Linked DNA regions of Pelodiscus sinensis. The protein of the gene in region 2 purifies or fractionates together with the protein of the main gene of each other region. This does not show direct contact. Links are inferred from orthologs where the notes say so. Each region holds a gene or a part of one and is shown on either strand. Other genes may lie near its edges.

Region 1 (11,707 bases), on a different chromosome or scaffold from region 2:
CTCTACACACACTTTTACACCTGTACTGATTTCATGTTTCATCCAAGCAGAGCTGGTGCTGAGGGAACCAGCTTTTAAACAGCACCAGCTACTGCTTCTCCACCTCCCTTTGTGCCTCTCATACAGAGGCAGGAGAAGAGAAGAAATGTGAGTAGTCAACTAGATTAAACTATAAGCTTAGGCTTATTGTTCACATCCCTCCAATAGAGTTCTCCCAACCTCAGATAATTTCAAACTGACAGAAGTCAACTTTGAGAAAATTTTAAACAAAACAGAATACCTCCCACACATGTTAAGGCCTCTGCACAGTATGAAAGGAGAGTCCCCAATTCTGCCCAAATGCAGGTCACTTTGAAAGGGAGCACCATCTCATAACCCCTCCCAGATGCCACATGCAGTTTTCATTTCAGCACATTCTGGGGCCTTAACCAGAGAACACTCGGCTAAAGACTAAGGAAAATTGTGTTGGCTATTTAGGAAATGAGACCAGAAGTCTACTAAACTTACTGTTTGAAACAATATAGTTAACGGAAGCATTCTACAAAGAGGTCTGTAGTGCACAAATGCAGCGCTTGTATTTATCTTAGATAATAAAAAGTCTCTTTTAACCATCAAATGAAGGTTTTGAAATTTAATATTTTATGACGTTCCAATAGCCCAACATATTAGAACTGCAATAACTATAATACATTTAATAATTTTTTAAATTTTATCACCACAAAGTCATATTGGTCACCTAGAAGTGGTTATGGCTTATTATAGTGACTTTTTTCTTGCACAGGTGCTATCAGTGCATATAAATTTGATACAAGAGACTAGGTTAAAATACATGGACAAAGAAATGAGATTTACTTTCACATGTAAATATATTCAGAGTAATTTGCTCCTTTTACTGTGATAGAGCAAGGATGACATGGGGCAATGGAAAAAAAAAAAAGATGGCATGCTAACAAATCATCTCTAGTTAAAAAGGATTTAATTTTGGTCTCCTATATTGCAGCTTATATTAATTTTAATTGCACCCATGCTCATGGTAATTTACTATATTCCTGGAAGCTTATAAAAGTTCTTCAGGCTCTTAATTTGTGGGAGAGCAGTAGTTAAAGAATTCATTTGTTTAATGAGCAGAAAAAGTTTAGCTAGATGAGCTATGGATTTTGTACACCAACTGTTTTATACGCAGACATGTTAGGTGTACAATTTAAAGGAAGAAAATAGGCATTAATGTATACATACCTCTTGAGGCTCTACCACACAGTAGTGATACAAGTATTGATTCATAAAGATTCCTGTATTTGTAGTTGTATAATACTGACTGCACAGAGCAACAAGTTGATTGTAGAACACTGATCCTGAAGCTTGTGCAGTTGGGTTTACTGCCAGTACATATACAATGGATGCAATGAATACCAAGAAACCAAGGATAGCACTTATTATTATGACAATTAGATAATATCTTCTTGTTCTGGATGTGCTTGAGTTGGTGACACTTGTTACAAAAATTGCCATTCCAGCAATGAAGCAAAAAGCTGTCATTGCAAGTATGAAGCCTTTAGCAGCTCGGGGCTCAATGTAATTTCCTCCAATACCATAGGCTCCACCATATCCATAACCGTAGCCATAACTGTTACTGCCTCCAAAACCTCCATATGAAGGATATCCAACACCAGATCCCATTGATGAACCTCCATAGAATTCTAAATCCCAAGGCAATGTGGAAGCCACACAAGCAAAAATGCCCACACACATCACTATAATGAGAACTGACATGATCTTTATTATTCCTGGAGGGGAAGTCCATTTGTAGAAGTGTTGCACTTCATCTTCTGGATAGTAGGAGTATGCTGGTTGAGAGTACATGGGCTGAGAACGCATGTCCTCAACATACGTAATGTTGCTTGGTACATAGTGAGAAGGTTTGCTGCAATAAAAAGAAAAAATTATCAACTTAAGTTTTCAGCAGTTGTGAAAAACTGTTAAAAAAACTGTAGTGCACAACACATGAAGTTAGATTAATTCAGGAAGTGGTCAGATTTAGACAGTTTTTAAAGAGTCCTATATTTTTCAATGGAATGCATATATTCCTCCAAAAAGACATTTTATTTTCTCATGCGCTTTTATGATAGTTGTTCACAAATAATATTAGAGGGTTGAAATTAATCCACTCTGACCACTGGCATTTAAAGATTACTGGAATGTGTGCTCTGGAGAACTCAGAGAATGTTTAAGAGTGATAATTTGCAGTATTTATCATACCAAACAGTAGGGCCATTTGTAAAGCTATTTAGAAGGAAGGGCACTCAACTTTATAATGCCTATCTGATTTAGGAGCCTAAATCTCATTTTTAAAAGGAATGTAGGCACTAAGGAGTTTCAACCCCGTTGATAGACAGGTATTGCAACACTGAGTGCAGCAATCACTAATTAATTGTGGGTCTGGCCCACGAAAGCTCATCTAATAAACCATCTTGTTAGTCTTTAAAGTGCTACATTGTTCTGCATTTTGCTTCAGCTACCCCAGACTAACACGGCTACATTTCTATCACTAATTAACTGTTGTTTGATTAGTTTACACATGGAAGAGACAAAAAGCATCCTGTAAAGTGGTAAACAAGCTATTAGAACACACTATATGTGCTGGACAGACATTTCCTTTTTTGTTAAATACGTAGCCAGATATAGGCTAACAGCAGCAACTTGAAGACAGTTGACACAGTTACTGTTAACAATTGTATAAATAAGCTGTTAAAGATATGAATTTCAACTATGTACACTTGCTTATCTGGAGTTATTTAAAGTAGTAACCAAAGAAGAAAAGAGAATATTTACAATTCATCTGGTCGATAAGGTGGAGGACTTTCAAAAGGTCTGGATGACATAGTTGAAGTACTGGTTCTCTAAACTGAGACTTATTTTTGGTACCTAGGAAAAAAAAGTGACAATTACAAAACAATCTAAACAGCTTATTGACATTATAGTTAGTATGATCGCCTTATACTATACAGATGGCTGTTCAATTACTAAAAACAGAAAGTCAAATCCACAAAAAAAAATTTTTTCAAGGACTTCCAATAAATAGAGCTTTCCACTCCAAGGTACACAAACAGTTCCTAAAATATACAAAGACTCCCCTTCATCATACAGTGCTTTAACACAGTAGTTGATCTTAACTATGATTTTTCCCCAAAATATCTTGAAATATGTAACATCTTAAGCTAGATCTCAAGTAGGAACACCAATCAAGAATTCTTCATGATCACCTACCATTTTCTTCTTTTTTGAAGGGGGCATTAGTTTTGCCCTTACCCAATTTGTTAAAATATTGACCTAAAATAGCACAAGATTTCAGATGACCATTGCTCTAGAAGATGATGCTAGATCAATGCTCTGGATTTGATTACCTCTAGAGGTTCCTTCCAGTTCTATGACTGATTAAGTCCAGCAAAAGAAAAGAGCAACTAGCAACTTGTTATTGATGCATTTAAGAGAGTGGCAATTTTATCTCTCCTCCACCCGAAAGGACAGCAAGTACAATGTTTTTGAAGGTAGAGGTTCTTGGTTTTAGAGTCAATCAATCTGTGGATTGTTCCAAGAGCTCTATTTTAAGTTATCCTTTTAAAACTATAGTTTGAAACAATGGTTTCAGTCCCTGAAGTGGGTATCTCCATTAATTGCTGGAGTAAGAAGAGCCTTTCAGTTAAACATCAGCAAAACATTTCATAAACGTAGTTATGGTGAAAACAGATATTTCAACCAAAATGTAATTTGTTTCAGAGCAGCCTTGAGGTGATACTACAGTGAGAAAAAGGAAAGAGCACAAGACATTAGCTGCAAAATAATGCAGAGTTTCTTTGAGAGGCAAAGAAGAATTTAATGTACCTGTTCCTGTGCATACCAAAAATCTCTCTACTGAGAAGAAAGCTTTCATAACAGACTGAATGCCCTGGTAGATTTGACATTCTTGAGGAAAAAGAAAATATATCTTAAGGAAGCAACTTGTTAAAAAAGGTTCATCTTTGAACCGACCATTCAAGAAGGACTTACTGACTTCTTTGAAACGATCTGGCATTTACAACTTTTGTGGAAACTACATATTAAAATCGTATAATAGATTTCTGCCTCCTTACCTTACTCTTTTTGGAGGAACTTGCACATCAGAGAACAATAACTGAGACGAAACCCTTATTACAGTGCACAGCCCTAGAACCAAGAGGCAGGCTAAGGTACAAAAGATGTAACTGAAGAATCATCCCTGGTGTCACAGGGACAACGCCCAACTAATACAGAACTGAGTTTAAATATGCAACTGAGCGTTTAAAGAAATAAGATCTACGTATGATCTGGCTATAATAATGAGCAATGCACAGTAGTACCCTAGAGACGAGAAGTATCAGCTTTTTTTTTCTTATTTCGATATTTCCAATCACAAGCCGTAAGTATAAACATTTGGGAAAACTTTTAAGAATAAGCCAGAAGCCCTTACACTTGGGCATGGATGCGGTTGGGAGAAAGGGACGACCCCTCCCCCCGACCCTACACAAAGCAAACACACCAGTCACCAGACACACTCTACTCTTGCCCCCATCGCACCTGGATGTCCCGTTCCGAGATTTGTAAACCGCTTCGGTCCAAGAGTTCATTTACCTTAACGCCAGCAGCGCACGCACCCGCTTACGCTCGCCTGATTCCCAGCTTCCCTGCTCTTTAATCTCTCTGGAAGCAGCCGCTGCTGTAAGCCCTCTCCTCCCCCCCGGTACCAGCCGCACCCCGCCGCGGTGCATGCGCCCTGCCCGCACACCTAGGGCTCGAGGACAGGCGCACTCACCCCCCCCGCCCAGCAGCTCCCGCCTGGAATGCGGGGTGGGAGCCGCCCGCTTCGGCCGCACTGATTGGCTGCTCCCCTCCCCTCTGCCAGTGGCGCGTGACCCCTTCAACTGAAACTCGGCAGCCCCAGCACCAGGCAGCGAACAGGTTGATCCTGCAGCGAGCGCGCGGAGGGGGCCGAGAACCAGTTTCGAGTGAGGATGGACTCAGCTCTGAGAGTCTAGTGCAAACAAAGGGCGGGCTGGGGGCGTGCCCGAGAACCTCCCAGCCGCGGGCGAGTCGCTCCCCGCCCTTCAGTGGTGCCAGCACACACTCAACTCACTCTCCCCCTCTGCTGCCCGGCACCGCTCCCCAGATCTGGAGGGAGGGGGGTCGCAGCTCCTAGCCCAGCAATCCCCTTTGGAATTGTTTGCAAAGTGTCTCTTGGACTGTAGACATAACGCACGAATGGGGAAGAGGGGTTAGCGCCCGGAAAAAAGGCACCTTTTAAAATGATGGCTAGAAGTAGGCTGGTTCAAATTCGGGGAGAGCAAAGCCAATGCCACCCTTTTAAAGCAGTAGTACTGGAAGTGGCTCGGGGCTGTTTCTATGCACCTCTCCCATTGCATGCACCTAAAGGAAATAGAAAGAATAGTGTCACAATATATTAACAGGCATTTTATAGATATAGCTAAAGATTGAATTTAAAGCAGAAGGGTTAGACAGGTACAACACCTATTCATGGAGCCACTAGTATAGACAGTACACTTTTTTAGCTTAATTGCTAAACACTGAGTAAGAAAGCTAAAAAAAATAGCTACATAAACTTTGACTGTGGTCAAAGGTGTAAAAGGTTCACTTTCCTCAGCACTACCCTGTAGCTATGAGGGTCACACCCCCACTCCAAAGGCAGCGAGGTTGAGGAAAGATTTTTGCCACTGACTATTTGGGCATGTGAAGTTCCTAGACCAGTGATACTCAGACTGAGGCTCCCAAACCACAAGTGGCTCTTTATTTCACTTCTTGTAACTCTGCAGCACAAGATATTAAAACACTATGGTTAATAATTTTAATTTAAAAACCAGGAAACATTTACTATGCTTTTAACCAAATATAAATTTGCTCTGAGTTAACTAATCTGTTGTTTATTTATACTATATATAGTACTATAGTAAATACAAAAATGAATTCACACTACTGTGGCTCTTTTGGGTAATGAAGGTTTATAATTTGGCTCCTGAACCACTGAGGTCTGAATATCACTATCCTTAGAGCAACAGAAAGACCACTTTGGGTATTGGTTAAACTGAATAGCAGTTTTGCTATACCATCTTAGCACCCACACTGTAAACATGACTTAAGAGTGTCCATATACATAACTTTCCCCTGTAACCAAGGCTCAAACTAAAATACATTTTAATTGCAAGCAAAATAAAATTAAATGGAGACAGTGCTTCATCTTCCTTGGATGCTGTACTTACTTCCTGCAGGGAGAGTCCTGTACTTGAAGATTAATCAACTGTGGAGATGGACATTTAAGTGTCACATTGATATCCCTAGAACAGTGGTCTCCAACCTTTGTAAGCATGAGATCACTTTTTTAATTTAAGTGCAATCCAGGATCTACCCCAAACCAAAACATGCTTGCCCTGCCTCCTTCCCACCCCTTTTCCATGGCCCCACCCCTGCTCACTCCATCCTTTCACTCTCCCCCATCCCCACTCACTTTTATCAGACTGGGGGCAGAAGGCTGGGGTGCGGGATAGAGGAATACAGACTCTGACCTTGAGCTAAAAGATCTGGAGTGTGGGAGGGATTCTGAGCTGAGGTAGTTGAGCAGCAGGGGGGTTCAGGCTCTGGGAGGCAAGGGGACTATGAGCTAGGGTAGAGATTTGGGGTGCAGGAGAGGTTCAGAACTGGGGCTGGCGTTTGGATGTGGGCTCCAGCTGGGCACCGCTTACAACAGATGGCTTCTTGGTGGTGATGCAGGGGACTAAGGCAGGCTTACCCCTGCTCCCAAAAGCAGCCAGCAAACTCTCTTCATCCCTGCCCTCCCCTCTCCCCCAACTATGTGGAGATGGGGTACAGAGTGGGGGGAAGGACACCCTAACTTCAGCACCCCGTCCTCTTCTTGTTCCCTGCACAGCAAGCAAGAAACTCCCAGGGGTGGGGCACAGCTCCAAAGCAGAGGGCAGGAGCAGCACGGTAGTGCTGAGAGGGGCAGATGAAGTGACAGCATTTGATAGCCTCCTCGCCACACCTGTCAGGATCACCTGTCAAAGGCTCCAAGATCTACCAGTAGATCCTGATCTACTGGTTGGTGACCACTGCCCCAGAACTAACTGATCCCAGAGGCAACTAAATGAGAAAGGCCCCTTGCTACTGTTACAAAAATTCATATAAAAAGGGAATGAAACAAAAGAAAGGACTATGCAGCATTTTAAAGACTAACAAGATGATTTATTAGGTGATGAGCTTTCATGGGCCAGACCCACTTCCTCAGATCAAATTCTGGAAGAGAATTGGCACGACCATATATACCAAAGGAATACAATGAAAAAAAAAGTGAACACATTATAAAACTGACAAATCAGATTTAGAACAGAAGGGGAGCGAGGTGGAGGACTAGTATCCATGAGATAATGATACTAGGGGTGATAAAAATCTATTCTAAATCTGATTTGTCAGTTTTTCTATCATAAGAGCATAACCAAAGGAGGAATAAGTTTCCACACAGGATATGGGCAATATGCCTTACTTGTATTCACATACCTACAAAAATTGCCTCTTGGAACTAGAAAATAATCCGTTTCTATGTCCACTCAATGCACATTAGTAATGACATTAATTTTGAAGCCTAGTCTTATGAAGTGAATAGAATGTTTGGAGATTAGACAAATCTAATTGCTTGAATTAGTCAGGGGTTGATTTCTTTGCTCTGTAAAGTCACCCATCTTTATTATTTATTCCACATGTTTGTATGTTGATATAGCAACAGCAACTTGATCAAGGCATATCCTGGTAATTAATATTGCATAATCAGCATCATAGAGAAGAAAGATTAGACAAGTGTTTTCAGTGAACTTATATTCAAAGTAGACAAAACAGAAAACAAAATAGTACACTTGGCGATTAGAGGACAGATATCTCTGAATGGAATTTTTGTTCCTATATAGATAGCACTTCTAACATTAGGAGTGGATTACAAATAAACAGTATCTAGAAGTCGAGCCTTTTGTCTCTAGGATTTTAATTATACCCTATACAGCTGAAATTGCAAGTGGAATGTAGGTGGGCAGAATAGTTACTTAGATAACCTATCAGAATGTAAGTATCCAAACTGCTATGATTTCTTAGAAAATCATCACAAATTTATCAATGATCAAAATAATTTTATGTTTTGTCTTAAGAACAGTATCTGCTATGGCATAATGTCCCTATCACAGGGCTGGGCAAAATACGGCCCAGGGAGCCGGATCTGGCCTGCCAAGCCACAGGCTGCAGCCCATAGACGGCCCTGACTGGACCCTCAGGCAGACACAGCTGCCGACTTAAACACAGTCCCTGCATTTCTCTGCTCTGCAGGGAGGTGGAGGCTTCTGTGAGATCACCCCACTCCCAGCCCAATCCTCAGGTCCTATTGGCCAGAAAGAACCAGCCAATAAGAACTGACCTCAGCTAATCTCTCAGCTCCGATTGGCTGGAAACAGCCAGTCAATCGGAGCTGAGAGATTGGCCTGAGAGACTGGGGCAGCCCGATATGAGAACCAGGTGGAGGGAGCAGCCTGTATTTTCAAACAGATTGGGGTGTAGGCCAAGAGGCACTTAGGTAAACTCCTCTCAGCTAGTGCCTACTTCTGGCACCCCCAACCCATCCTGCACCCCAACTTCCTCCCCCAGATCACCATCCAAACCCTCTGCTCTCTCTGTTCCAGGTGACAACTCCCTCCCAGACCCTGTACCTCCTCCTACACCTCTCCCCCAGGCCAGAATCCAATCCTGCACCCACACCCCCTCCTTGACCCTACACCCCAATCCCTTGACCCAGGTTACAACCCCCTCTTTCACCCATACACCCGCTGAGCCCTCACACCGTCTCCTGAACCCCAGTCCCTTACCCTGTGCACCCAACCTTCACCCTAGACCCTCCACAGAAAAGTGCAGACCTTGACCATTAACCAAAATCTTGGCATGGCCCCTACCAAAAATTTTTATATTCCCTGATCTACGGACTATAAAACTAAGCGTTATTTAACAAGGACACACTCTAAAGTGAATTAAACAACAAAGACAGGAACTAAAAGTGGCCTCTCCTCTCACTGCGAGTAAACCTTAACATTGTAGTTGGTGAGCACACTGCCCTTTTGAAAAATCAGGCCAAAAATATGGATTTAGCAGCTTAGATTTAATTCCTGTTTTTGAAAATCTTGGCCCTCTGATACAATCAGAGGGATGATCCTACAAATGACAAGGAGTAGGCAGAGCCCTATTTGCTGCTGTGGGTGGCAGAAGAGTACATCCACATACTTTTACTTGCAGGATCAAGGCTTAAGTATACATTTTTACAAAGAGTTGCAAGAGCAGCATGTTTGATTTCCTTGATTTCTCACCTCTCTTTTCAGTAGTGTACCTTCTAGTTGTTCAGCCAAAAACTAAATAATCAGGCCTAATTTTATTCATAGATAAGAAATAGTTATGATCACAGAAAAATATTCAACTATCAGACCCTACTTTATAAATTAGTTTCCTCAAAATGAATGTTCTTTTGTCTAACACTATGAACACATATTTCCTGTTTAAAATTCAGAACCTACTCTCATATGACTCAAAATAGAGCTTTGCGGAGCAGATTATACAGTACTGCACAAAGCATAAAAGCGACCTCTCCCACTTCTATTATGGGTTTTCTTAAGTATCAGCCTATGCCAGTATTTACGCACTAGCTCAAAGTATAAAATCTGCTAGACCATAGACATATAAGTAGTGTAAAAATAAAACCATTCTTTCAATTATATTAATGTAGTCATTCAGACTTTAATTCTTCACATTTATGTATATCTAAAGTAGTTCAGAGAGCTCTGACAACTTTACAACTTTTAATTAGTAAGTGGTATATTGTAATACTTTTCAGGTCTATTCTGAATACTAAAAGGATTATAACTCTGCAAAGACTCACATACGTGATTAACTTTCTGCATGAATAGTTCCATTGACTTCAGTGAGACTATTCACGTATGGAAAGTCAAGTTTGAGTCTTTGCAGGATCAGGTCTTTAATAGTGCATTTAGGTTTAGGAACACAGTGGAGAATGAGCTTAGCAAATAAGCTATAGTGCACAATAGTCAAGGGGCTCATTCATGAGAACTAGCTCAAGATGGGCAAACAATCCATCTCAGCTTTACAAAAGATTACCTCAGGGCTGGGCTAAAGAGCATGCAAATTCTCTGGGATTTTATGCAGACTTCACAAGTCACAGCTGCGCTAATTACTCTCCCCTGGCAGCAACAAGGAGAGAGAAATTCTTCTACCATCTTCTACCTTTTTTGTCAGGGGACCTAGAGAAGTAGCTAACTCAAAGTCTGACTTCCATCAGCCAAATTTGGGCCATTTCCAATTATATTTATAGCCATGTAATTAAGGTGTTAGAGAAAATGGTATTGATGACAAATGACATACTCAGTCAACAGTGAACCAACAATATTGCTAGGGAAGCATTGTGGTGCTAGAGATGTTTTACAAAAGTTAGTCAAAACCATTACACTGACACAACTAATATTGAACATCCCAAGAGACTATTTAATTAAACTTTTAAAACAAGAGTAGGAGTTTCAAGGAGTAGCCAAGTTAGTCTGTACAGAAAAAACAACAACAAATGGTCTGATAGCACTTTATAGACTAACAAAACATGTAGATGGTATCATGAGCTTTCGTGGGCAGAGCTCACTTCTCAGATGACCGGAGTTTTGAGTTTAGGACTCAAAGTAAGTCCAGACACTATAAGAGCTACTGCAACCAAATTTTGCATGGTATTACCTTTCCTCCAGAAGAAGGTTTTAAGGTACTGTGGGAGGGTATGACGGGGGCCCCACTCTCTCCTCCCCCACCCGCATTAGGTTTGCCAGTGGCAATGCGCTCCCAGGCCACCACTATTCTGGGCCTGTGGCGCTTGCGCAGGGCGGCGGGTTGAGGACCGCCCTCATAGCGCAGGTGCACCTCAGCTGGCATGCAAACCAGCAGGCAGGTGGACCGGGGCGGGGGGGCAGGGATGCTGGCATGGAAAACGGCGCTGACACTGGCACCAGGCCAGACACAAGGGGAAGGGAGAGAGATGGAGGAAAGGGAAGTAGGAATAAGGGATCTTCCAGAAAAGGGCTTATTTTCTGGAGAATCGCATCTAGACTGGCGCTTTTCTCCGGCAAAAACCCCAAGCCAGAAAAAAGCGGCAGCCATGTAAATGCAAATGCCGCGGGGGATATTTAAATCCCCCGCGGATTTGCAATTCCGAAGTGTCTCGTTACCATCCCTTTTCCGGAAAGGGATGCCAATGTAGACACAGCCTTGATGTGTTACATTGCTGTGAAGCCAGCCAGCTGCTGTTCATACCGTGAGTGGGACTCTTCTGTGTCTGGTTCCAGCCATCAGGGTTAGACGTGAGCTCTGAGCTTTTGCTTGCCAAGGCAGGGCAGGTGGATCCCTGAGCCATCCTTGCAAAGAGAAGTCCCCTTGCTACTGGCTACATGACTGGGTACTGTTCTCGTAGGGGCTGGCTGCTTGGTCGTGGAGGGAGGAGGGTCCTTCTGCTCTCAGAGGGTCAGGTATGGGCCAGGAGCCCCCAGGGTCTGTGGCTCAGGGTCCCCTCCTTTCCTAAATTTTCTAAATTTTATTCCTCCGGTTTCCCGAGCAA
Region 2 (12,054 bases):
TTTTCCGAAAATGCTTTTAACGGAAAAGTTTTCCGTTAAAAGCATTTTCGGAAAAGCACGTCTAGATTGGCAGGATGCTTTTCCGCAAAAGCACTTTTTGCGGAAAAGCATCCTTGGCCAATCTAGACACGGTTTTCCGCAAAAAAAAGCCCCGATCACCATTTTCGCGATCGGGGCTTTTTTGCGGAAAAGAAATCTCTGCTGTCTACACTGGCCCTTTTGCACAAAAGTCTTTCGGAAAAAGACTTTTGCCCGAACGGGAGCAGCATAGTTTTTCCCACAAAAGCACTGACAATCTTACATGAGATCGTCAGTGCTTTTGCGGACATTCAAGCGGCCAGTGTAGACAGCTGGCAAGTTTTTCCGCAAAAGTAGATGATTTTGCGGGAAAACTTGCCAGTCTAGACACATCCGGGAGGAAATGATCTATTAGAAACTGTGTATCTGCAATTTCTTGAGTCTGATACATTACATATTTTCTATAAACTGTGGGCTACCTTAGACAATCCCCAAACATGTACAAGAGTCTCATATTTACACTATTCATCTCTCTCTCAGGCTATTTCTACACTAGGTGATTCTTTTGAATTTACTAAGTTTAACTTCTGGCCACCCAATTTTACAAATTCGAAGTTGTGTGTCCTCACTATGGGGAAGAATCTAATGTAGTCTGAGGTAGCGTGTCCACATTAACAGAGCCTGCTTCAGACACAGAGCCCCGGGAAGCACTTTGGGGAACTGTGGGAGGCCTAATTAGTTTGAATTAGTGGCAACAGAGTGTCTGTACTTACATTATTTTGGACTTACAAGTTCAGGAATAGCATTATTCCTCGTGAAAAGCAAGACTACAAAAGTTGAATTCCATGGCCCCTTACTCCGGAATAACAAGCTTGATAGTGTGGACGCATCACTTAGAAAATCAACCTTGGGGGGCTAATTTCAGAGTAAGGTCATAGTGTAGACCAGGCCTTTATGATTGCCATAATAATCTCAATACTATCGACAGAATCTTATATCTTGTTTTCTGAACCTTCTCACAAAGGGTTCATTTCTGCACCATTGAAGTCAACAGAAGTTCCACCGCTTTTAGAATTCTCACAGACTGTGATTTATTTCTCTCACTAAAATCTTGTCCTGATTTCACGTATATTTCTTATAAAACTTGTTTCTCCATTGAAAGTCTTTTAAAGTTTAGACCAGTGATTCCCAACCTTTTTCCTATGGAAGAAGCCCTAAAATAATTTTTCATATCCCGGGGAACCCCTTTGAAAACGTTTGCTTGGCCAGAAAAAGTTGACAGTGGGGAGCGCAATTCAATTACTGCTAAATTATTGTCAAGAAAATTTATTTGTAAAGAGCTGTTATATATAATGTCAGCTTACATTGTAAGGAAAAAAATTATTTATTTATTCCACGATTTCTCGCGGAACCTCTGACAATGGTCTGTGGAACCCCAGGGTTCCACGGAACCCTGGTTGGGAAACACTGGTCTAGACATTAAAACCTTACTCCCAGTTTGGTAGGAAATTACATGTATTAATTGCATGACTTAGCTCTTTTACAAAACATTTTACTTGCAGGTATTTAGATTTCAGTAAATATTTACTTTGGCCTATTGTTTTAAGATTTTTACATGTCAATAGTTTATTTTCCTTAAGTAATTTTGCAGCTGGGTTAATTCATACTGTACTCTATCTTAAAAAACACCCAACTATCTGCTGACATTGACAGTAAAAATCCTGGATTGTCTTACCAAGGTTAAATAGACTGACAATTTTCTGGGTGTGATTACCACATCTCAAATTCTTACTTCTGTTTTTTAACAGCTGCTATAGCCACGGTTCAATGTCAATATAAAGGATTCACAATTCTTCAAATCTACAATCCTACTGCAAATTTGAAAACAGTAGTTCTGCTGGGAAGTTCTTAAAAGTTCACATTTGCAACCATAATTTAAGTGTGCTGTAGCAAATAATAGTTTATTTTATAGAAAGTGTATATCATGCTCATAAAATGTGCCAGCTGACAACTTGAGAAGTAAAGGCTTCTATTCACGAACCAGGTGAAACACAGTACTGCAAACTTCCCACACTGCCTCAGACCTGACCTACACAGAGGGACCTCTCTTAGGAAAGAGATTAGTAAATTTTTAGCCTCTCTGCTAATTACTGCCAATTATGATGGTAGTTTTGCAACATGGGAATAAGACTGAGACCATCCGACTCACTTAATATATAGCCTATAGAATAGGTATCAGATGGAAAAAGCTGACAGACAATGGTAACATAGATTGGGTTTGAACTGACAACCTAGGGAATCAAAGCTTCTATAGCTGATTACCCATCCCATTAGAGAGCCAACATCCATCTTTTTTTGTTTTGATCTTGTTCTGTGAAACACAAAAAGCACAGCTATAGGACTTATAATTTTTTATGAGGGGGGGAGTGGGAGGAAATTAGAGTGGCAGATGCTCGATAAAGGAATAAACAATTGCTGCTACCTTTTTCATTTTCATTCAGTAGGATTCAGGTGGATTATCTCCACCAACTAAAGATAAATATTTTAAATCTTTTTTATAAAATGATTCATTTTGCTTGCTCTTACAGTATGTACTAACATATATATAAAACAACTTTTGAACCTGACTGGGCAAAAAAGAATACTGAAATTCTTACTTTGATAAACGAAGACTATGCTACCTTTTGATCATATTAAAGGCGATTTATACATTCTCTTTTTGTACACCAGGCTAGAGACTATTGATATATGGTAATGGAATGTACTTTTTGCAATATATTGCATTGATTTACATAATAAAATTAATATATTTATTTCACAAAAATTAAGCTTTATATAACATATGATTTGAAAAAAATGACAATACAATCTTAAGTACAAATATATCCCTTAGGAACACTTTTAAATGTAGTGTAAATTACTATTTCAACCCCGACACATAGCCACACAGACAGTCTCATATGGAACTCACTCAGGATCCTAGTGCAAAGTTGAAACCTACATTACTATGTCGCATGCTGATGGGGAGATAAGAATTTGAAGAAATAATCAAAAGATGTAGAATATAAAGATTTAAGTAACTGGCATGAATTCTTACATAGAAAAAAAATCATGATCCTTTGACCCAGACCATCAACAACTCAACTCCTCACACAAATATGACATTGATGAACAGCATACTTTTCCTTCAACAAACATTTGTTCTTCATTCAGGACCTACTATAGTGTCTTGCTTGTCTCTCTGAAAGTAGGGAAATTTCTCCATAAAACTAGGAAATATGGGTTGATTTTATTCTCACTGAAGAAAATGGAAGTATACAATACTGTATACTATATGTACTGTCAGCAAAGTAAAAAGGAATAGCATTGACAAGAGAAGAGTATAGGTAGTTGCACTTTATCTTTCTGACAATCAAACCCAAGCCACTATATATAGTGTAAAAGATAACCATGTGTAAGTATATTTTTTTAAGGAAAATATCTGATTTTGTATGTTACACTTAACAAGAATATGTTTTTGCCAAATTAAGTTACTAAAATAATTTTATTTTCTGTAAACATTATAATAAGTTTATGCTAGAAATATTATTAGTTTTATATGTGAAAGCATAATTTATATACTCTGCGACTTTTTAAAATGCCAGAAAGCTAAATTAGTTTTTTAAATTTTACACTTTCTGCAGTATGAAGTAAAATGATAAACTATGAAAAAATATATCAATGTGTGCTTTGGAAAACAGTTGTTAAAGAAAACTTGAACCACGTAAAATGTTAGTTTAATGAAGTTGGCCTATAGAAATGTTACTATGCTTCCCAGTTTTACCTCATTCCTTGACATTGTCTGTTCTGGATGATCGTGTGAGAATAAAGGACAAAATAAAATAATGCCAAGATCCATAGTCACTATAGTATATGTATTGCTGTCATGAGAGGCTGTTCATGAAAACAATTCATTTTGAAGCTACTTTATTGTTAAACAGTATGTCTTAGCACTTCCTTCTCAGACATTTTACACTTTCACCGTGACCCAGGGCCATGATGATAGGAAACCATAAGAACATTGCTGCTCACATCTCAACTTAAATCTTACAAAGATTTTTTTCTTAAGGTACAAATTTAATTCAAGATCCAAGGTATTTTTTTCTTAGAAAATTTGGCTTTTCAGTTAGGTAGATTTTCTTCTTAACATTATTTTTTCTGATGATATGCATCCTGCTGCTTCAATCATGCTAACAGTGGTCCTTTACAAGACAAAGAGTAACTGGGTATTGCAATGCTTTATGCTTCCTGGTGTCCTACTCACCCACATTGCAGTTTTACAGTGCTCTATTTTTTTCTTAACATACTGTCAGTTCACCTAGAAAACAATTCTAGTTCACCAATCAGTAAGCCCAAAAACCACTGGAAATGTGTCAAAAGAAAAATAAGTATATTTTAAAATTAAAAGTATAATATTATATTTAGATACTGCATGTCCCTTTTTGAGATTCACACTTGCCAAGAAAAATAAAGGGCTGACATTTGGAAGTGAAGCTTTATTCCTACTACGGATCAAAGAAGCAAATATCAAACAATCATTGGGAATATAGGATCAGACTGCCATGCCTATGATATGCGGTGTTGTTGTAGCTATAATAGACCTTCCTTGTAATTACCCCTGCACCTTTCCGAAGGAGCTGCCATTATTTTGACAAATGTTTGTTGTTTCTTTCTGAAAACACTTCTGAGAGTGCGAATCACACTGCTGGCCCAGGGAGAGGCTGGCGGCTGGGAGCTCCTTAAGCCAAGGCGTTTTCCTGAGAGGAGGCTGCAGCGGGCGAGCGGGCAGCTCCCCCAGCACGAGGCTGAGCACAGGGGCTGATCTGCCCGAACCCGCTCGGCGCACGATTCGCCGCGACCTGCGCCCGGGGCTTCCCGTGACACATTCCGGGCCCTGCAGTACGTGTCGGTTTGTCCCCACGGACCCCCAATGTGGGCAGCGCCGCGCGCCCGGTCCGGCACGAGCCCTTCCCCTCCGCCCGGCCCCACTCACCACAGCTTCCTCTTCAGGGGCATCAGGCTGCCCCGGTTGGAGGCGGTCACCCCTATGGCCATCTGCAGCACCGTCAGGTATTTCTGGTACTTCATCGCGCCGCCCCCCCGCGGGCCCGCCGCCGGCAGAGCCTCTCCAGCCGCTGCATGCAACCAGCAAAGCGCTCTCCCCGGCATCTGCCGCCCTGCGCCGCCGCCCGCCGCGCTGCCTCTTCCCGCCTCCGCCCGCCGCCCGCCGCGCTCCCCAGCTCCCTCTGCTCTGCCGCGCCTCCCCGCGCTGCCCCCCCCGCCGGGGGTCACGCCCTGCCCGCTCACCTGGCCGTCTCGCCCGGCCGCCTCCCCTCGCACCCTGGGGCCTCCGACCCCCCCTCCCCTCGCACCCTGGGGCCTCCGACCCCCCCTCCCGCGGGGCACCCTGGGGCCACCCTGACCCCCTCCCCTCGCACCCTGGGGCCTCCGACCCCCTCCCGCGGGGCACCCTGGGGCCTCCGACCCCCTCCCCTCGCACCCTGGGGCCACCGACCCCCTCCCGCGGGGCACCCTGGGGCCTCCGACCCCCTCCCCTCGCACCCTGGGGCCTCCGACCCCCTCCCGCGGGGCACCCTGGGGCCACCCTGACCTCCTCCCCTCGCACCCTGGGGCCTCCAACCCCCCCTCCCGCTGGGCACCCTGGGGCCACCCTGACCCCCTCCCCTCGCACCCTGGGGCCTCCGACCCCCCATCTCGCTGGGCACCCTGGGGCCTCCAACCCCCCCCATCTCTCTGGGCACCTGCGAGTCTCTGACCCCCCATCTCTCTGGGCACCTGCGAGTCTCTGACCCCTCATCTCTGTGATGCCCCCATCCCTCTAGGCACTTGGGTGACTCTCTATGCCCCCCCCATTTCTCTAGGCACCTCTCTCTGGCCCCCCATCTTTAGACCTCTCAGGTCCTCCCTCCCCACATCGCTGGGCATTTGGGGCCTTTCTCTCAGCTCTACACCCTGCCCCTCACAGGGTTTCCAAGAGGGTGTCACTTTCCCATCCTCCATCACTGGGCCTCTGGGCTCTTCCTCTCCCCACCCACTGCTAGTAACTGGGGTCTGTCTCCTCCCTCCTTCCAGAGCAGTGTTATGCCATATCCTACGGACAGCTCAGTTACCCAGTGCCGCTTTGCTGCTGCCATGCTCCGAGCCTGGCGCTGCCCTCTGCCCTCTAGGTTTCTGTCCCCGCCTCTCTAATCTTATTAGCGTCTAGAATAGTCCCATATTATTGTAATCCCTACCCCCATCACTTGTGATTTAGCTATAATCAGGCTGTGGAGCCAAGCACCACATCAAATGCAAACTGGCTACTGCTCAGAGGCAATGCCCACTGTGCCCTGGGCATAGGAGCTGGGGAGCTTCCCAGAAGTAGAACCTTAAATCAAAACTATCTTCTGAACAGAGAGAAAGAAATGGACAAGAAAGAGGATTATTAAGATCACCTGCCCTACATTCACCTCTGCACCACAGAGATGTGGAATCCTATGCAAAGCCTAATGAATCAACAGCAGAAATAACAAAATATCATTCCTGATGCTCTCACATCCAGAGAAATGATAGAAATGACTGCAGATTTGAAAGACTTATGGCCATTAAATCAGACCTATAAATGTGATATATTCATTCCTAGACATCCACTCTCTGGGCACCTTAACAAAAATAGCTAAAACCAATCATGTATTGAATCTTACACTCAAAACATTACACTAATAATCTCTCTCTATGTAAAATAATTTTCCTGTGGGACGACAGAGTGATGTAATCATGTGCTGCAGCACGAGGGGGGCTGCTATCGGCCCTTCTACTGCACCCTGCTCCCCCAGACTCTGCAGTTAGAGTCTGGGTTCCCTTCAGCCCCTCCTCAGGGATGCCCTGGGCTCCCCACTGGCCCCTGGCTTCCCTATAGGAGAGTTAGGGGGTGGTGGCAGTAGCCACCTCTGGCCTCACTTCTACTTCCGGATCTGGGCCACTGCCTACCTGGCACTCCTGCCTCATGTGCCCCCCTCACAAGATTACAGAGCCAGCAGCACACGCGCTTCCCCACATGCCAGATCCAATGCAGAGTCTTGGATCTTTCTCTTCCTCTCCTGCCCTACAGGAAGCCAGTGCTAGCGCTATAATCCTGGGGGTGGGGGAGAGGGCAGCACGAGGCTGGAGCGCCAGGCAGGAAGCCGCCCAAGGCAGGCAATGGTTCACACAGAATCAGGGCCCCAGACCTGGAAGTAGAAGTGGAGCCAGAGGCAGCTTCCCCATTGGAGCAGCAGGGAAAGCCCCTGGTGCTTGGTGGCATGAAAAAAAGTAAGTGCCCCCTCATGCCCAGCCCCTGCAATCCCAGTGCCTCATGTACCCCCGGCCAGCTGTCTCACCTCCTTCCCCTGGCCAGACACTCTACCCCCGACTGCTCCTGCCTCCTCCCCCAGGCCAGACACTGCCCAGTCGGAGCCCAGCCCCCATCTGGCCATTGCTCCTGTCCCCAGCCCTGATCTTGGGGCAGACCCTGCAGTCCAGTCCCCATCTGGTCACAGGAAGGGCTGGTAGCAGCCCCCTTCCTGCTGCAGCACAGTAAGAGGATAGGCCACAATCCAGCTGCAGTGGATAGATGGGGAGATTGGTAAGTGTAGAGAGCAGGAGGCACAGCCCCCTAATGATTTCTTAAACTTATTTTGGGCCTTTCTCCCCAAAGTTCCTTAATATTTACATAGTGTGATAGATGTTCATGGCACACCATAGGTGACTATAAAACAAGTTCCTGACCTAAAAGGCTTTCATTCTAAAGACAGCGTAGAGAGATAATAGGGTAACATCGTATAATGCTATCTATGTACTTTATAGAACCACTGAGGTCAAACATCTCTGGGGCAGAGGCCAGCATGTAGCTGACGAACTGACCGATAGCATTGAGATTATTTTTGGCTACAGATATTAGAGTAAAATATGTTGAGGAATCTTTCATGTCCACACATAGAAAAGTCTTTAAACAAAATACTAGCAAAAAGGAGACAAAGTAGTTTGGGCTTTGGCACAAAAGATGCCACCAATGAGCTTGGCTGTGAATACTGGGAAATAGTATCCCAGGCTCACAAGAGGCATGTCTACACTAGGAAATAATTTTGAAATAAGTAACATAGAAATAATAACTCCCAAAACAACAAAATCGAAATAGTGCGTCCCCACTACAGGGAGCATCGAAATTACTCAGAATGATTTCGAAATAGCGCATTGACACTGATTGGAGCCCGCCTTGGACTTAGAGCCCCTGGAAGCACTCCTGGGAAGGCATGTGTGGCTGCTTGGTCAGGCAAGCTGTGGTAGATGCTATCAGGACCTCCTCTCCATGGCTGCATCTCACACGCCACTCCTCCACAGGACACAAAACGGATGCCGTGTCCTCTGGTTGCCCTGGTGGACACCACAGCACTTCCAACATGGAGTCAGAGCTGCTGCAAAGCAGTGCTAGGCTCACGGGCCTTGTGCTGCACCGCATGGTGCAGTTCATCCAGACTGCCCACTTGCTGCTCCAGCAGGATGACTACCAGTCCGGACCAGAGGCCCTCATCACCCAGGTCCTGGCACTCCTATTGCTGCAAATGATCCTCAATCCCCTGGACACCATTGAATGATGCTTCTGATGGAGGGAGACCAGTTCAGTCTCATGGGACTGCATCATCCTGCAGCAATGGGATGACAAGCAGTGGCTCCAGAACTCCACACATGTGGAAGGCCACCTTCCTGGAGCACTGCAAATGGCTTGCCCCTGCCCTCAGGCAACAGCATCCTGGGCAACGCAGCCTTCCCCTTGCTCCCCTGACTTATGAAGCCCTACACAGGCAGCCTGGGACCCACCAAGATGACTCTGCCAGGCTGAGGAGGTGCTGCATAGTTGTGGAGTGTGTGTTTAGCCATTTAAAGGGGAGGTTCTGGAGTCTCCTCACCCGTCTGGAACTCAGAAAGCATAACATCCCCTTTGTGGTGGTGGCCTGCTGTGTGCCCACTACCTCTGTGAGAGCAAAGGGGAGACTTTGCTGCCAGGTTGGGGGCAGAGGCTGCACGGATGGCCGGGGCATACAAGCAGCTGGACACCAGAGCCATTTGACAAGCACATAAAGGGGCTTTGCTCATCAGGGAGGCCTTGAGGGAGAGTTTCAGCCAAGGTCAGCTGTGAGACTATCCCTTGTGCCTGTCCACACAGGACCCCTTACGTTGCCTCTCTGTGCTTTTCCTCCCGGACCCCCACCCCTTCCCACCTCCCCTGCCCCTGCAGAGCAAATAAAAAAGCCTTTAAAAAAAAACCAAGACTGTTTATTTGGGGGATATAAAACAGGGGAGGAACTGGGGGAAAGAATCTGGAATGCAGGAGGGGGAGGCGATCTCAGGGATGGGGCCTGGACTGACTGGGTAGCTTGGGAGGCTTTGTGTGCCTTAGAGGTCCCACTGCCCCGTGTTCTGGGACCCTGGTGGCTCCTGGGGGGGAGCTAGGAGGGAAAGGCAAGGGGAGATGGTTGGTGGCCTGCTCCATGCACAAGGCCATGTGCTCCATCAATGCAGTGAGGGAGGAGCACATGGCCTCCTGCTGGTGTGCCAGCTGGTTCCAGGGAGCCTTCCACTGCTCCTGGTCAGTAGCCTGCTCCTGGCACTCCTCTTCAAGCCCCTGGATGAGGGGCTCGAGGCAGGCCATCTGCTACCTCATTAGATCTTCCTGAGTATGTTTCCTCCTGCAGATCCCGGCGGGAGTCGGGAAGATGGCATGGGAGGTGGTGCACACATCACACTCACAGCTGGCTCAGCTGTGAAGAAAAGTTACAAGGGCAGTCATCCCAGGAGACCCTGTATATGAAGCCTAGCCCTAATCGCTGAGCTGACACTGAAGTTCTTGGTTCAGACAATAGCGATTTGCTTCGAGCAAGGCTATATGTTGTCTTGACAACAGGCACTTTCCTGCAGGGGGACGGATGTCCCAGGGGAGCATTGCTACACCCACAGCCTGGGGACAAGCAAGCATGGGAAGGTGCTGGCCAGGCCAGGAGCCTGCGGGTGGCAGGAGGAGACAGGGCAGCTCGGCTTCCTTCCATGTCCTGCACACACCGGGTCCAGCACTGGCGGCATCTCACAGAGAGAGAACTTCTATCCCTGCTCGCTAGAGGAGGATGGAGTTTGTGAGAGGTGTGTGCGAGTGGCAGAGGCTGCTTGCTGGGAGAATGCTACTGGGGTCCCCTCCACTTCCTCCCTCCCGACAGGTTACCATGCAGGGAATCGTGGCTGTGCTGACAGCACAGTACAGTACACGGGGGGGGTATGAAGGATGTGATCGCATCAACCCTTCCCCACCCATGGTCCTCCAAGTAAGCATGAGGCTGGGGCAGTACATTGCCCCAGCATCCCTCCCCAATGCTCTGGCTGGCTGGAGGAAAGCAGAAGCGGCGCAGTGCCCCAACCTCCCTCCCCTACGCGCTAGATGCTGGGAGAAGGCTGGGGCTGATTTGTCTCCCCCACCCGCCACCAAGAGTGGGGATGGGGACTGGGATGGGGATGGGCCTGGGTTGCAGGGGTGGGGCAGCCACCAGCGCCTCCCATGACTCAACCCCCCCCCCACACAGAAATTCCTGAATACAGGCCTGCTATTGTGTATGTGTATGATTGCTATCTAAAGAACAGAATATCAGACCTACTCAATTAGGCACCATAAACCTTAAGAGAAATAGAAGATGTGGTTAAGATCAGAAAAGTGACTGAAAAATGCCACTTTCTTGTTCAATTGACCTACTCCCTGTGTACATGCAGAATGGTCTCTGTTTACTTTAATGACTTTAAATGACTCTAATGTTTTTACTCATGTTAACCCCTGAGCCCACACAAGGCTATGAGAGAGCAGAAGCTGAATTTTATTCAGACCTATCATCAACAGAATTTTTTAGCTAAATTACATTTACCATACTCTGTTTTGCCCTTAATTACAGTTGTACAATTCCATTAAGACAATCATTTACATCTGTCCAATGCTAGCCAATCCTTATTACTGATGAAGCTACATAAAGCATTTTTGGCTTCATTTTCAAATTCCAAATTGAATATACAACTCTGGCAACTAGAAATATATAGTTATATATATATAATTTCTCGATATGAAATTATTGCCATGATAAACGAAGAGACCAATAATGACGTTTTTACAGTAATATTTGAGACTCTAAACTCGCTTTATCAGCCAGTGCAGGATAGACATGGATCTATTTCTAGTATTTGTGTTCACATACATTATAATGCCCTTTTAAGTTATGACTTCACCTTTATTTTTTATTTGTTGAGATGGAATAAAAAGATCAACCTAGTTGGAGGTAAATAATTTGAGACGGGTTATGTTTTCCTATGTATTATACAAAGACCAAGCACAATGGGCCCACAAATGCATAACAGCATCCTTACTGTTATGATATAAATGCACAATAATAAATATAAAAATAACTTCAGATTTTTCATTCTAAGTCAAAACATGTCTCTCTGCTGCCCTGACTCTTGAAGACTCCCAAATCTGAAATTGCAGGGATGTGATAAACACAAAGCCTGCCTTTTCTAAAAGAAGGAGCTTTAAAAAAATAATTAGCATGTGGAATACTGACCAGAACCTACTGTAGCTCTCTCTGAAGAGGACTGGCAAATAGAAAACACCTACCATATGCAAGTCTCCTGAAAATCATAAATTGGTTTGCCGTGGAAAATATTTTCCAAATTCTGTCCATACTGCAGCTTCCATCACTGGAACTATGCTGAGGGTCCCAATTTTCCAAGTCCAAGCAAGGCTACAGAGCATATAACTTAAACAAAGGAAAGGGCACAGCACTCACTGAGAAGAAAAAACTTTGAGTAGCACACATTTATCAATTTGACATGAAGTATCATCCACAACCCTCTGGCCAACAGGCCCCATATCCTTAGTATATACTTTTTTTTCTTCATAAGGCTTTTATGCCAAGCATTAGCCAACAGTTT

The links.
Region 1: the proteins of TJP1 (region 2) and OCLN purify together in Homo sapiens (affinity purification with western blotting; 4 studies listed by BioGRID and IntAct, with this or other methods). This does not show direct contact. The link is inferred for Pelodiscus sinensis from reciprocal best matches to the Homo sapiens genes TJP1 and OCLN.

The regions. Positions count from the first base shown.
Region 1 is NC_134716.1:81,588,715-81,600,421, reverse strand, and holds the start of OCLN (occludin), read right to left. Parts: upstream 5,016-11,707; 5' UTR 4,591-5,015; intron 4,278-4,590; exon of another isoform or gene 4,128-4,277; intron 2,923-4,127; 5' UTR 2,880-2,922; coding exon 2,830-2,879; intron 1,922-2,829; coding exon 1,237-1,921; intron 1-1,236. UniProt on the Homo sapiens protein: May play a role in the formation and regulation of the tight junction (TJ) paracellular permeability barrier.
Region 2 is NC_134724.1:44,961,107-44,973,160, forward strand, and holds the start of TJP1 (tight junction protein 1), read right to left. Parts: upstream 5,195-12,054; 5' UTR 5,146-5,194; coding exon 5,051-5,145; intron 1-5,050. UniProt on the Homo sapiens protein: TJP1, TJP2, and TJP3 are closely related scaffolding proteins that link tight junction (TJ) transmembrane proteins such as claudins, junctional adhesion molecules, and occludin to the actin cytoskeleton.